3 linked regions of the Oryzias latipes genome follow. The protein of the gene in region 3 purifies or fractionates together with the protein of the main gene of each other region. This does not show direct contact. Links are inferred from orthologs where the notes say so. Each region holds a gene or a part of one and is shown on either strand. Other genes may lie near its edges. The genes, in order: glutamine--fructose-6-phosphate aminotransferase [isomerizing] 1, iars and gars.

Evidence for each region.
Region 1: the proteins of gars (region 3) and glutamine--fructose-6-phosphate aminotransferase [isomerizing] 1 fractionate together in Homo sapiens (co-fractionation; 3 studies listed by BioGRID, with this or other methods). This does not show direct contact. The link is inferred for Oryzias latipes from reciprocal best matches to the Homo sapiens genes GARS1 and GFPT1.
Region 2: the proteins of gars (region 3) and iars fractionate together in Homo sapiens (co-fractionation; 3 studies listed by BioGRID). This does not show direct contact. The link is inferred for Oryzias latipes from reciprocal best matches to the Homo sapiens genes GARS1 and IARS1.

What each region holds. Positions count from the first base shown.
Region 1 is NC_019867.2:17,109,481-17,113,562, reverse strand, and holds the start of glutamine--fructose-6-phosphate aminotransferase [isomerizing] 1, read left to right. Parts: upstream 1-1,247; 5' UTR 1,248-1,345; coding exon 1,346-1,352; intron 1,353-2,920; coding exon 2,921-3,028; intron 3,029-3,376; coding exon 3,377-3,484; intron 3,485-3,596; coding exon 3,597-3,722; intron 3,723-3,816; coding exon 3,817-3,875; intron 3,876-3,957; coding exon 3,958-4,082.
Region 2 is NC_019863.2:9,833,297-9,836,949, reverse strand, and holds part of iars (isoleucine--tRNA ligase, cytoplasmic), read left to right. Parts: intron 1-5; coding exon 6-182; intron 183-332; coding exon 333-453; intron 454-637; coding exon 638-763; intron 764-903; coding exon 904-1,050; intron 1,051-1,552; coding exon 1,553-1,705; intron 1,706-3,653. UniProt on the Homo sapiens protein: Catalyzes the specific attachment of an amino acid to its cognate tRNA in a 2 step reaction: the amino acid (AA) is first activated by ATP to form AA-AMP and then transferred to the acceptor end of the tRNA.
Region 3 is NC_019878.2:18,054,062-18,057,475, forward strand, and holds the end of gars (glycine--tRNA ligase), read right to left. Parts: intron 3,376-3,414; coding exon 3,211-3,375; intron 3,139-3,210; coding exon 3,031-3,138; intron 2,942-3,030; coding exon 2,796-2,941; intron 1,857-2,795; coding exon 1,771-1,856; intron 1,681-1,770; coding exon 1,571-1,680; intron 1,494-1,570; coding exon 1,400-1,493; intron 1,317-1,399; coding exon 1,126-1,316; intron 1,007-1,125; coding exon 881-1,006; 3' UTR 617-880; downstream 1-616. UniProt on the Homo sapiens protein: Catalyzes the ATP-dependent ligation of glycine to the 3'-end of its cognate tRNA, via the formation of an aminoacyl-adenylate intermediate (Gly-AMP).

The sequences.
Region 1 (4,082 bases), on a different chromosome or scaffold from region 3:
TTTTTTTCATATAATGAATTGATTTATTGTTTCGGATGCTACATTCATGTAATGTTTGCAGGCCGGCTATAATTCAAGGATGTTGATAGAGGGTGTGCTGACGGGGAGCTTCAGGATCTTCGAGCTTTTTTTTTTTTTTTTTTTTTTTTTTTTGGTTTTTTTTTTTTTTTTTTTTTTTTTTTTTTTTTTTTTTTTTTTTTTTTTTTCAAACTTTATTGAATGTAAAAAATCAATACAAAATAATGTTCAACATTGAACAACGAAGAAACAAGCCAGGGGGTTTATACATTTTATGCATAAAGATTGAAACTAATACACAGATCTAATGTTTTGATGGCGTTCTTATTATCAGAGTTTCTTATTGTCTTAATGTATTGTTTGAACTCATTAATAAAGACTGAGAAATGAGGGGTATGATTCGTTACTTTTGATTTATGAATGTGCCATTTGCATAAAAACAACAAAAGGTTAATGAGGTACAACTGTTCTTTTTTATGAGATGGACAGTGGGTGATGCCAAACATAATATTTTCTAAGTACAGGCGGAAGTCAGGGTCAATGTGGGCAGAAATGAAATGACAAACTTTAGACCAGAGAGTGGTGGAAAAGGGACATGACCAAAATAAATGTACAGTATCTTCAGGGTATTCTTGACAAAAAGAGCAAGTAACATCAATATCTTCCTTGAACCTTTGTAGATATAGTTTGGTTGGATAGAATTTATGGATTAGTTTGAATGAGATTTCTTTCACTTTATTGGTTAAAAAGTATTTTGCTGGTAAATTCCAAATCTTTTTCCATTCTAAATGATAAACTAAATTATTCCAAAAAGAAACTACGTAAGGAATGGAGACAACATCCTTCTGGAAGAGTGAGCGTATACGGCGATTTGTGTTACGTGAAGAAGAAAAACAAATTTGGCCTATTTCTATTTTAGTCGGATCAATTGGCAATAAATTTGGACTTTGCAATGATGAACTTTTGAATAATGTAATAATACATTTAGGAATTGCTTTCAAAACAAAGTTAAATTCGGTTTTTGGTATTTTGATGGAGTATTTGAAGCAGAATTCTTCATGTGACATTAAAGCTCCGTTTGAATTAAACAGCTGATGAACCAAAAGGATGTTTTACTTCGAGCTTTTCCACTCACACATTGCATCCTGATGCCACGTCACTAACGTTTACGTAGATGCTGTTGCTTGACTGACGGCCTGCTCCACCAATAAGAAAACACTTTGGAGAAAGGAGATTCGTTGTCAATCAAAGAGGGGTGGGCTTTAGTGATAGGCGTTCCGAGCAACCCAAGAGCCGAGTAGTTGATCCTGACAAGCAACCTGAAGACATGTGTGGTGAGTTGTGTGATGATTTTTTTTTGTAATTCAGTTTTTATATGATCTGGATAGAAATATTTGTCTATCGCTGTTAGTCACACTGTTACTAGGAAGAAAAATCAATCAACAGTTTTAGACCAAAGGATTTGACATTAGGCTAGCTTGGGTGGCTACCTTGATTAGCGAACATGATGATGCTGCAGCTAAATTTACAAGTCAGCTTTTAGTTTATCCGTTAATCATTATATTTTTATTGATTCAGGTGTCGTGGAAATATAATTTTAACTGTAAGATTAAATGTGTTGTTGATTACTGCCTGTGTCTGTGTGTGTGTGAAGCTACAGCGTTTACGTCCACAGAAACATTTCCTCCTGGTTTGCTAATGTCATTAAACACGTAATGTTTTTCATTTATTTATCTAAACGCTAAAGGATAAACAGACATTTATATATCAAAACCGTAATAGAAGTATTTAGACTAATATAAACGAAACCAGACCATGGCTCGGGGTTTTTCCGGACATTAGTCCTATTCTTTGAGTTAGTTAGTAATAAAGGTATATTTAGTATGACATAAGAGGCTAGTGTTGAATGAATTAAAGACATGAATTTGTAGATTTTTCTTTGTTGGTAAATCAAATGCCAGGATTCTCAGTCGCCTGATAGCTGACGTATGCCTCTCATCACCTGTCAGCACAATCTGAGAATACTAACCAGACCAGAGAAACTAGTTAGTGTGCTTTTCTATTATAATGTTGTTTTGGTTAATGGTTACTTTTAGTAAATCTTTGTTTCTCCAAAAGCACTGCTGCAACTTCCCTCACTGCCTTCTAATATTTGCTGTTCTGAATGAAGGCTCTGTTCTGACATTTTGGATGTGTGATTTTCCTATTGGTCATTTATGGTTTCAGTGTGTGTGTGCGTGTGTGTGCGCGTGTGTGTGTCAGCTGGAGCGCCAGATGTTTGCAGATCAACTATGAAACTTTAAACTTTCAATCTCGCTTTGTGTTTGTGTGTTACTGTAGCTTAACCACGTTAATACATGTGTAGCAATCAGGTAACGGGGGATTCCAGACATGAGTTTAGCTTTTCTTTTTTACATGTTTGAGGCTTTTTTCAATGTGATACAACTCCACCAACACTATTCCCATAAAGTGCAGAGTTGCAAATCATTTGAGTGTACTTACTAAGCTGGCATGCATTTGTAAATAAAGCGAAAACATTGTGGTTGCTATTTAGGCTTTCCTTAATTATCATTTTATTTCCAACAGCCAGGCTTTTGGACTGAATAGTTTCAGAGTTCCTAGTGACAAAATGCTTTTTTCTTTCTCCCCTGAGCTGATGTCTGAAATGCTCCTCAGTATTTGACAGTCTGTTGCAGAAATACTGGCAAAAACACATAACACACCCGTCTTAAGCCAGTACTAATACAGCACAGTTATGACTCAGTTTGGCTTTGATCGTGATGAGAATAATATACGGATGTTTTTTGCAGAACAACAGAGTAATATTTATTTAAATCAAATATACAGTGCCTAACAATTATTCTCAAATAAAAACATAGAATAAAACTTTCTTTCTTTTTAGGAATCTTTGCCTATCTCAACTACCACGTGCCAAGGACACGGCGTGAGATCCTTGAGATCCTCATCAAAGGTCTCCAACGTCTGGAATACAGAGGCTACGACTCTGCTGGTGAGACAGATCCTAGACTAAATTGCAGCTGTTTTTATCTTTTGTTTAAGTTCATCTCTATTTTTTTCTCACTCACAGAAAAGTTATTTAAAGTAACTCAATTCATTCTGGCGCTATTGTTAAATTCTAAAGAAAAAAAACAAAATTACAATACTATTTTATTAAATTATTTATCTTCTAAGTATTAAAAAAACACAATTTCATCTTTTAGTTTGGGCAAATGAATGTGTTAAGCTCCTAGTAAAGCTAGAAGAGTATCTGTACAAAATGCCAGGACATTTCCATAGCTTTGGCGTTTAGTTCTTACGGCTTCATCTCATTTTGCTTTTCTCTGCATAAACTGGTCAGGTGTGGGAATTGATGGAGGAAACAATAAGGAGTGGGAGTCCAACGCAAAGTCCATCCACTTGATCAAACAACGTGGAAAAGTGAAAGCTCTCGATGAGGAGATCCACAGTAAGACGAGATCAAACTGCAGAAAGTGTTTTTGTGATTTCTTTTTTTTCCACTCTATTTGCTTTGGCGCCATGTCACATGTTAAACATGACGATTGTGCTCGTTGTTTTAGAAGAGCAGGATATTGACCTGGATGTGGAGTTTGATGTTCACCTTGGCATCGCTCACACTCGCTGGGCAACGCACGGTGTGCCGAGCCCAATGAACAGTCATCCACAGAGGTCTGACAAGAACAACGGTGGGTTTTGTTTAGAATTAGAAAATAAAGCGCATAAATCTTCTCTAAACCGTTCATTCATATTAAAGTTGATAGATGTGTTTCTTCTTTGCAGAGTTCATTGTGATTCACAATGGAATCATCACCAACTATAAAGACCTAAAGAAATTCCTGGTGAGTTTTTTTGTTGTTGTTGTTTTTCATTTCTTCATCTGATATGTCTTCAGAATTAACCTTTTTTTTTTAATCTCCATAGGAGAGCAAAGGCTATGAGTTTGAGTCAGAGACTGACACGGAGTCTATTGCCAAGCTGACAAAGTACATGTATGACAACCGGGAGAATGATGACCTAAGTTTTGCCACATTGGTTGAACGTGTTAT
Region 2 (3,653 bases), on a different chromosome or scaffold from region 3:
TTTAGGGACATTTGGTGCCATCAGATGAGATAACTGTGCATTACCACTGTCAGCCAGAGGGGGAGTACTTGGCTTCTGTAATCCAAGCCCACACTGATTTTATTCTGGGAACTACAAAGGCTCCACTACTCCCATATCCTGTTCCAAAGAGTGCCAGCATCATCATAGCAGAAACTACGCAGGTACGAGTGGATCCCTTCAAGACAAGTTTGTGCTTTTTGAAGCTTGATTCAGGCCACAACATGGAGAGACAGAAAAACGATAAAAATGGCCTTCTCTCTTTTACCAACTTGTCAATAACTTTTTGGGGCATGTGTGTGTGTTTTTTCCAGCTTAAGGGCTCAGACTTGGAGTTAACTATCGTGAAGGGATCTTCAGTCCATCAAGCTTCACTAAATGGACCCGCATGCGCTTATGTCAACGCCCGGGTGAAGGTCGGCAACAGAGAACTAGGTAGGAAAGGTGCAGCGTCCATGTCCTACAAAAGCAATGACAAAAAAAAACCATTTCATTTGAAATCAAAGCAAAGCCAAACTAATAATGAGAAACGTACCATAGCTGTTCTGACAGTGTTCAGTTTTCCTTTAATGAAATCATTCTGTTTTTTTTCATTTGTTACCTCTTTTTTTTACGTCAGAGGGGGTAATTCTGCTGGAGAATCCAAAGGGGGATAACAGATTAGACTTGGATCGACTGCAGACAGTGTGCAGCAGCGTCTTTGGAACCAACAATAGTCGGCTTCGATTCTTCAGCGGCGGAACTGGTAACAGACATTTCAGCTCCTGTAAAAGAGAGAACCCCTAATTCTCCCCCAGCACTAATACTTTCTTCAAAATAGAATCTTTTCAGAGCATTCTATTCTAATGTGTTTTTTGTTTGTTTTTTTACACATGTACATTATAGAGCTGACTAGTAAAATGGATCTTCTGGCTCTCAGTGGCAAAACTTTAGCCGTGACTTCAGGCCCCTCCTCTCCTGGCCCCGCCCCTACTGCCAACACCCCGCTGTGCCCCTATGTGAACCTCGTTCTGTGCAACGCACAGCCAGCTGGTGAGAAATGCATATGTAACCAATCATGCAAAACAAGTCCTTTCACTTTTTCCGCTCTTTTTGGTCATTATAAGCATTAAACCATTGAAATTATTTTTAAAGTGTGTTATTATAATCAAGGATACAAAGAAAACAAAAAAACCCACTTCTTCGTTTGGAATAATCACATGGTGACTCAGATTCAAAGTCTTTGAGCAGGGTCGTTTTAACAAACAAATCTGCACACTTTGAAGAGTGGTCCTCCATTGCCATGGAGACGACACAGCAAGGGGAAGCTTAATTAGCATATTATGTGTTTCTTTTCAATTTTGGACTCAAATCCATCTTAGAAAGTTTCTTTTCAAAGGCAAATGCAGTACATTAAGCTCAGCTATGAAGCTGCTGACTCTTGCCTCATTGTTATGGTTGAGACATCAATGGTATGGATCTCTTCACATACCTCCTAGCTAAATCTGTGAGAAAAACCATTTCCCATTGTTTCCGTGTAATGAATTTTCTCCAGAGTGCCAGACTGGTGAGGTGGGCACGCTGTTGTTGATGAACCCAGTGGGCCACAATGCCCTCAACTACCCAGGCCTGCTGTCTGAGACCGGCAAAGTCTTTGGCCTCCGCAGCCGACGGCTGAAGCTCTACCTGGACCAGGACTTCACTGAAGGTATGATGAGGGTTTTACATAGTGGGTTCTGTGGAGATCCGGTTATTGATCATTTTAACTTTAACTGCATGTTTGTAACTCTAAACAATTTTTTAAACTTTGACTAAGGGACAAAACTGAATATTTAGATTTAAATTCATATTCAACTGTTTTTATAGAGCACTTTTCCTGTGACAGAACACCTCAAAGGGATTTACATAAAATAAAGAAATGGTAGTAAAAATACATTACTGTTTGGTAACATGTGACACAACTGACTGTAGAGGGGTTGAATGAAAACTTAGGTTTATTTTTTCATTTTTGCTGGTAAAAGATTAATAAAAAATTTGAAGTCAATGTACATGTAGATAGTGATGTTTGGGAATGTTTGGGATTTTCAGTTCAAAACATCACAAATGCAGCATAAATTCTCTTTTTTTTGTTCTCCCCTCTCTGCCTTTCAGTCCTTAAAGTTAACGCTGTGGCTAACATGTAGGAATATGGACAGTACTTCGTGAATCACTCCTCATTTTTGACCCTAAAATGACGATGGAGATTTCTATCATTTTTAGTTAGTATTAATGAGCAAAATTCAGGTTTCACATTAGAATGTAATGCTTCTGTAAGGAACTTCATGGTCTTATTAGAGAGTCAAACAGCTTGTAGCTCTACACGCACGTAAAGGATTTGAACAACGAGTCGAACTCAGTCACTCTTAGTCAGATACATTAAGAACTCATACAAAGGCTTCTGATTCTGAACTTTACACTGTTTCCTTTTCTCAATTTTGAACAAGCCGAACCTTGATCAATGATAACTGCTCAAAAGTTTTTCTTTCAAACCCTGCAGGGATTGAAAGATGAAGTGATGATCAGAAAATTGACAGAAGTCTTTTTATTTTTTAAATGATGTTTTTAAATCAGCTAAACCTTTCCCATCAAAAGTGTTTTTTAAATTTCATGGAAGCAGCCATTTTCAAATGAGCAGAAAAAGGCCCTCTACTGCCCCTAGTGGAATGATGGTGAACTACAGGGTAGAAAGCACGGACCGAGTTATATACCGTTTATCTTCCAATAGTGGCCTGTCTCTAATTAACACAGATCTCCAATAAACGCCGGGTGTAACAAGTGCTCGTTACTTTAGACGCCGGTCTCTAATAGTGGCCGGGCTCTTTTAACCCTTGTGCTATCTTAGATGACCCCACCCTTCACAAATCATTGAAGAAAAAAGGTTCAGCGCACTGTCTAGTGGGTCTAGATGACCCAACTCCCAATGTTAAAGTGTCTAGGATAGCACAAGTGTTACGAGCCCCATCCCTCCTGCCCCGTGCACAGTTGTGCAGACGCCTTGATGTCTGTGGTATTGTTAGCAGGTGTCGCGATCAGGTAGTGATGGCCAAGAAATACTCGTTCCATTTAGAAACTTCGTGTGCCAAAGAACACTCTGGTGAAGAATCTTCACGACATTTTGGGGTGGATCCTAAACGTTTCAGAGAATGGCGCAAACAGATAGGTAATATCGAGAAGACGGCTGCAGAAACAAGAGGTGCAAAAGAGGGTGAGCGACAAATTAGAACTGCTTTTAACACGGATTACTGAGCAAAGACGGAAAAGTGCGCGTCTCCAGGGAAACGATCCGCATGAAAGCGAAGAGGATCTTTGATACGGAGATTGATGCTTCAAAAAGAAAAGAAACATTCACAGCAAGAGCTATTCAGATCATAAGACAATGTTCTCATCATTTCAATAAATCCTGAAATGTTCATCTGGTGCTTTTGTGGTGAAATTCTTGGCCGAATTTCACCACAAAATGAACTCATTAGCCTTCACCGTTCTGACTGTGATGGAATAAACACCGGTTTCCAATAGTCTCTAATAAACACCGGGCTGGCTGCCAAATTTTGGCAATAAACGGCGGGGCTACTATAGGAAGATATACGGTACAATGAATTTGGATCATGCTAATGAGA
Region 3 (3,414 bases):
GATGAACTGAGAATGATTTAACTTGGACATTACTAACTCATTTCAGCTGCTGTCTGGGGGCTTTTCTTACTGTTTTGTATTTCCCTTTTCTTTGTGCTTTCAGTATTTTTTCTTCTGTCATTGAATGTGATTTTTAGCCTAAATAAAAAAAAAAAAATTCCATTACTTTTGGGGAATATTTGTTGTCTCATTGTTTTTTAAAACATATTTACAGAGAAAAATCTGAAGTCAAATTGAGTTTAAAAAATGTTTTATATCATTTCTTCCTTTCACAGAACTTGAGACGATACAGCTGCATGGCAGCAAACTTGAACTGAAACACCTTCGTTTCATCGCCACCCCTACAATATAAGTCCGTTTAATCAGGTATTTACTATTGACTGATCCTTCAAAGGTATCCTGAAGACCTCTTAGTTGGAAAATTTTTGGTCTTGTCATTTAAATGGTGTGGAAAACGGAGCCAATGGTTTCATTAGATCAACATTAAGTGTTAAAACTTTAGAAATACTTTTATTTGAATCCCACAGTTTGAATGCAGTTTCCGTGTTTGTGATCGTCACAGAGAGTATTTAACGGTTTCAGTCAGAAGGGTCCAAACACAAACCAGAGACACGTCCACTAAGCACCAACTGCTTTTATTGAAGCTTCATTTCACTTTAAAACTGGAACAAGTGGAAGTTCTCATCAACCTGATTTGATTTTGTCCCTTTTACAACAGAGTGGATGCAGTGCCGACGACAGAAGTCTAAGCTTCGCCTCGTTTCTCAGATTAGATGAATATGCGACGTTGTGACGTAAAACACAGCTGATCACAACACGGCTGCAGTGCTCTGTGTTGACATGAGGCATCGAGTCTGTGGATGTTCGCACAAAGTGAACTCTACTCTTCAGATGCCTCCTTCTTGCTGGTCTCTTGCCCCTCAAAGATGGGAAACTTGCTCTCCACTTCTGCCCAGGTCATCGTGCCGCTGGCCAAATCTCGAACTATTACAGGAAGCTCGCTGACCTGAGGAAGAAGATGGAAGTGTTGATAAGGTGGGGGGTTCAATTGAACAACAAAAAGGCTTAAGATAATTAGTATCAATGCAGTCTTGTGTGTTTCATGAAGCTAAATCTTAACGGTACCTCAGCTCGTATTTGCCTCATCGAATCCCGGTCCCTCAGAGTGGCCGTGTGGGGGGTCTTGTTCACGGTGTCAAAGTCGATGGTGATACCAAAAGCCACGCCAATCTCATCTGTCCTGGCGTAGCGCCTTCCAATGGAGCCAGATGAGTCATCCACCTTATGGGACACCCCATTTTTGGTCATTGCCTCGGCTATAGATTTAAAAAAAATAAAACAGGATCACTGCAAAAGCACTAAAGATAAAAAAAAGGGGACTTTAGTTGTGGAAACTTACATAATTCCCTCACAAAGGGCATAAATTCCGGATTTGGGCTGAGAGGTAGAACCGAACATTTGTACGGAGCTACAGTAGCAGGAAAGCTAAAGTACTGCAACAGAGAAAATGGAAACCCGACAATAGCAATCAACCTTTGATGTTACATTTAGTCACAACGTCTAAACTTACCGTTCTCTGCTCATCTCCTTCTCTGATGTGGAATGTATGCTCAAAGATGGTGTACATGATCCTGCCGATGCCGAAGGACGGCTCGATGACGTTGGGAACAACTTCCTCCACTGCACAAAAACAGAAATGCAGCACGGCGGTTAAAAAAAAAAGTGGCAGAAGCATTGTGGACTCTACGCTTTCTGTGGAGTCTTCCTCACCATGCAGAGTCTTCTGCTGCCGCCTCACGCTCACCATGTCCTTTGTGAGTTTGAACGTCTTTCCTTCCGTCTCAATGTTGAACTCTCTGCGTCAAAAATGGTTTAAATTTAGGAACAAATAACAGCTAAAATACACCAAGATTTTTTTACGGACCGCTCTGTACGAGGCTGAAGTTAGAGTCTCTTTTTTCTTAAGCTCCCAGTTTCCCCTCAACTTTTGAGATTAAAGTTTGTCTTCATTTTGTTGTAAAATATCTGCATCTACCGGTATTTGTAAACTAGATTTTGTATAGAAACCAATTAAAATGTGATATAGATTTTCCATTAACCTATAACTGTGTGGAAACAAAAAAAAAACAAAAAACAGACACCAACCTCTTTTAGAAGCGACAGACAAATACAAAAAGAAAATAAGTTTCCCAAAACTGGTATTTTCTAAATATAATAATGAACATGAAGAAACTTTATTAGTAGAATACTCCTAAAGTTAGACAGCTGGTTGCTGAATATTATGCATGTTTATTGTGGTGTGTGGGAACAACTGTCATAAGACATCCATATGTGAAGTAAAGATTCCTGGTTTTTGCCTTTCTCTGTTTTCTAACTGGCTCTTGTCTGCGAGAAGAGACTCACCATATACGTTTGTTTTTGTCAACTTTGCTAGCTTGGGGGAACAATTTAACGGTCGATAGCAGATGAATTGTTGACACGAGAGCGACTTTACATGCTTTAAGAATGAGACGGATGTGGTGAAGAAAACCCATCTGTTTTCCAAAATAAAACTTCATTCAGAATCAGATTATAAATAAAGCTAAAAAAATGTAGGTCATGTATTTTCTTCTCTCTTCAGTCCGGTACCAACTGTCTAATGGACTTGTGCAGGTCCACCGCCCAAGGGGTTTGGGATCACTGCTTTATTTTACAATGATTCACATTAGTCATCTATAAATGCATTTTATTAAAATCATTTCAATAATCTACCAGAATAAAGAGTTCTATGAAAAGCTGAACAGACAGAGATTTACCCGGTTTCATTCAGCAGCTGCTCCTGCTCAGTGATGAAGCATTCGTCACACACAGCGAGATACTCCATAACCAGCTTGGCGTCCTTCTTGTACATCTTCCCGATGGCTCCTTTGTTAGGCTCAAACTGAACAACATTTACAGTTTTGTGTAGAAGCGTTAAGGAGCAACTAAAGCCACAAAATGAAACCAGATTTTGGTTTTGCTTTGTTATTTGCTGCTTTAGCTCAAGGATATGGGTTCTTTAAGAAGCTTCTCAGCAACCAGAGGGACCTTTGTGGCTCGCGCGTGACACTTCAAATCATAACATGAGCGGTCAGCACAGCCCACGATTTCAATCCAGCCCTGTGGGCGACAAACATCCCTTTGAGGATCATTATGAACACAAACCCAGAAGCAGAGAGGAACCAGACTTACATATGAGGTTTTGGTTTCAGCGTCCCAGCAGTCGCAGGCGTAGTGAGCCATCTCATTGTCCATGTGCTGTCTGAAACGCAACTTGTCTTTGGCAACGCCGACTTTAGTCAGGTAGAGGTAGATCCTCCCAATAAAATATCCCAAGACTGAATTATTGATCACTCCCTGAATCAGACAGGAAAATCCAGTTTCTATTCAAACGCA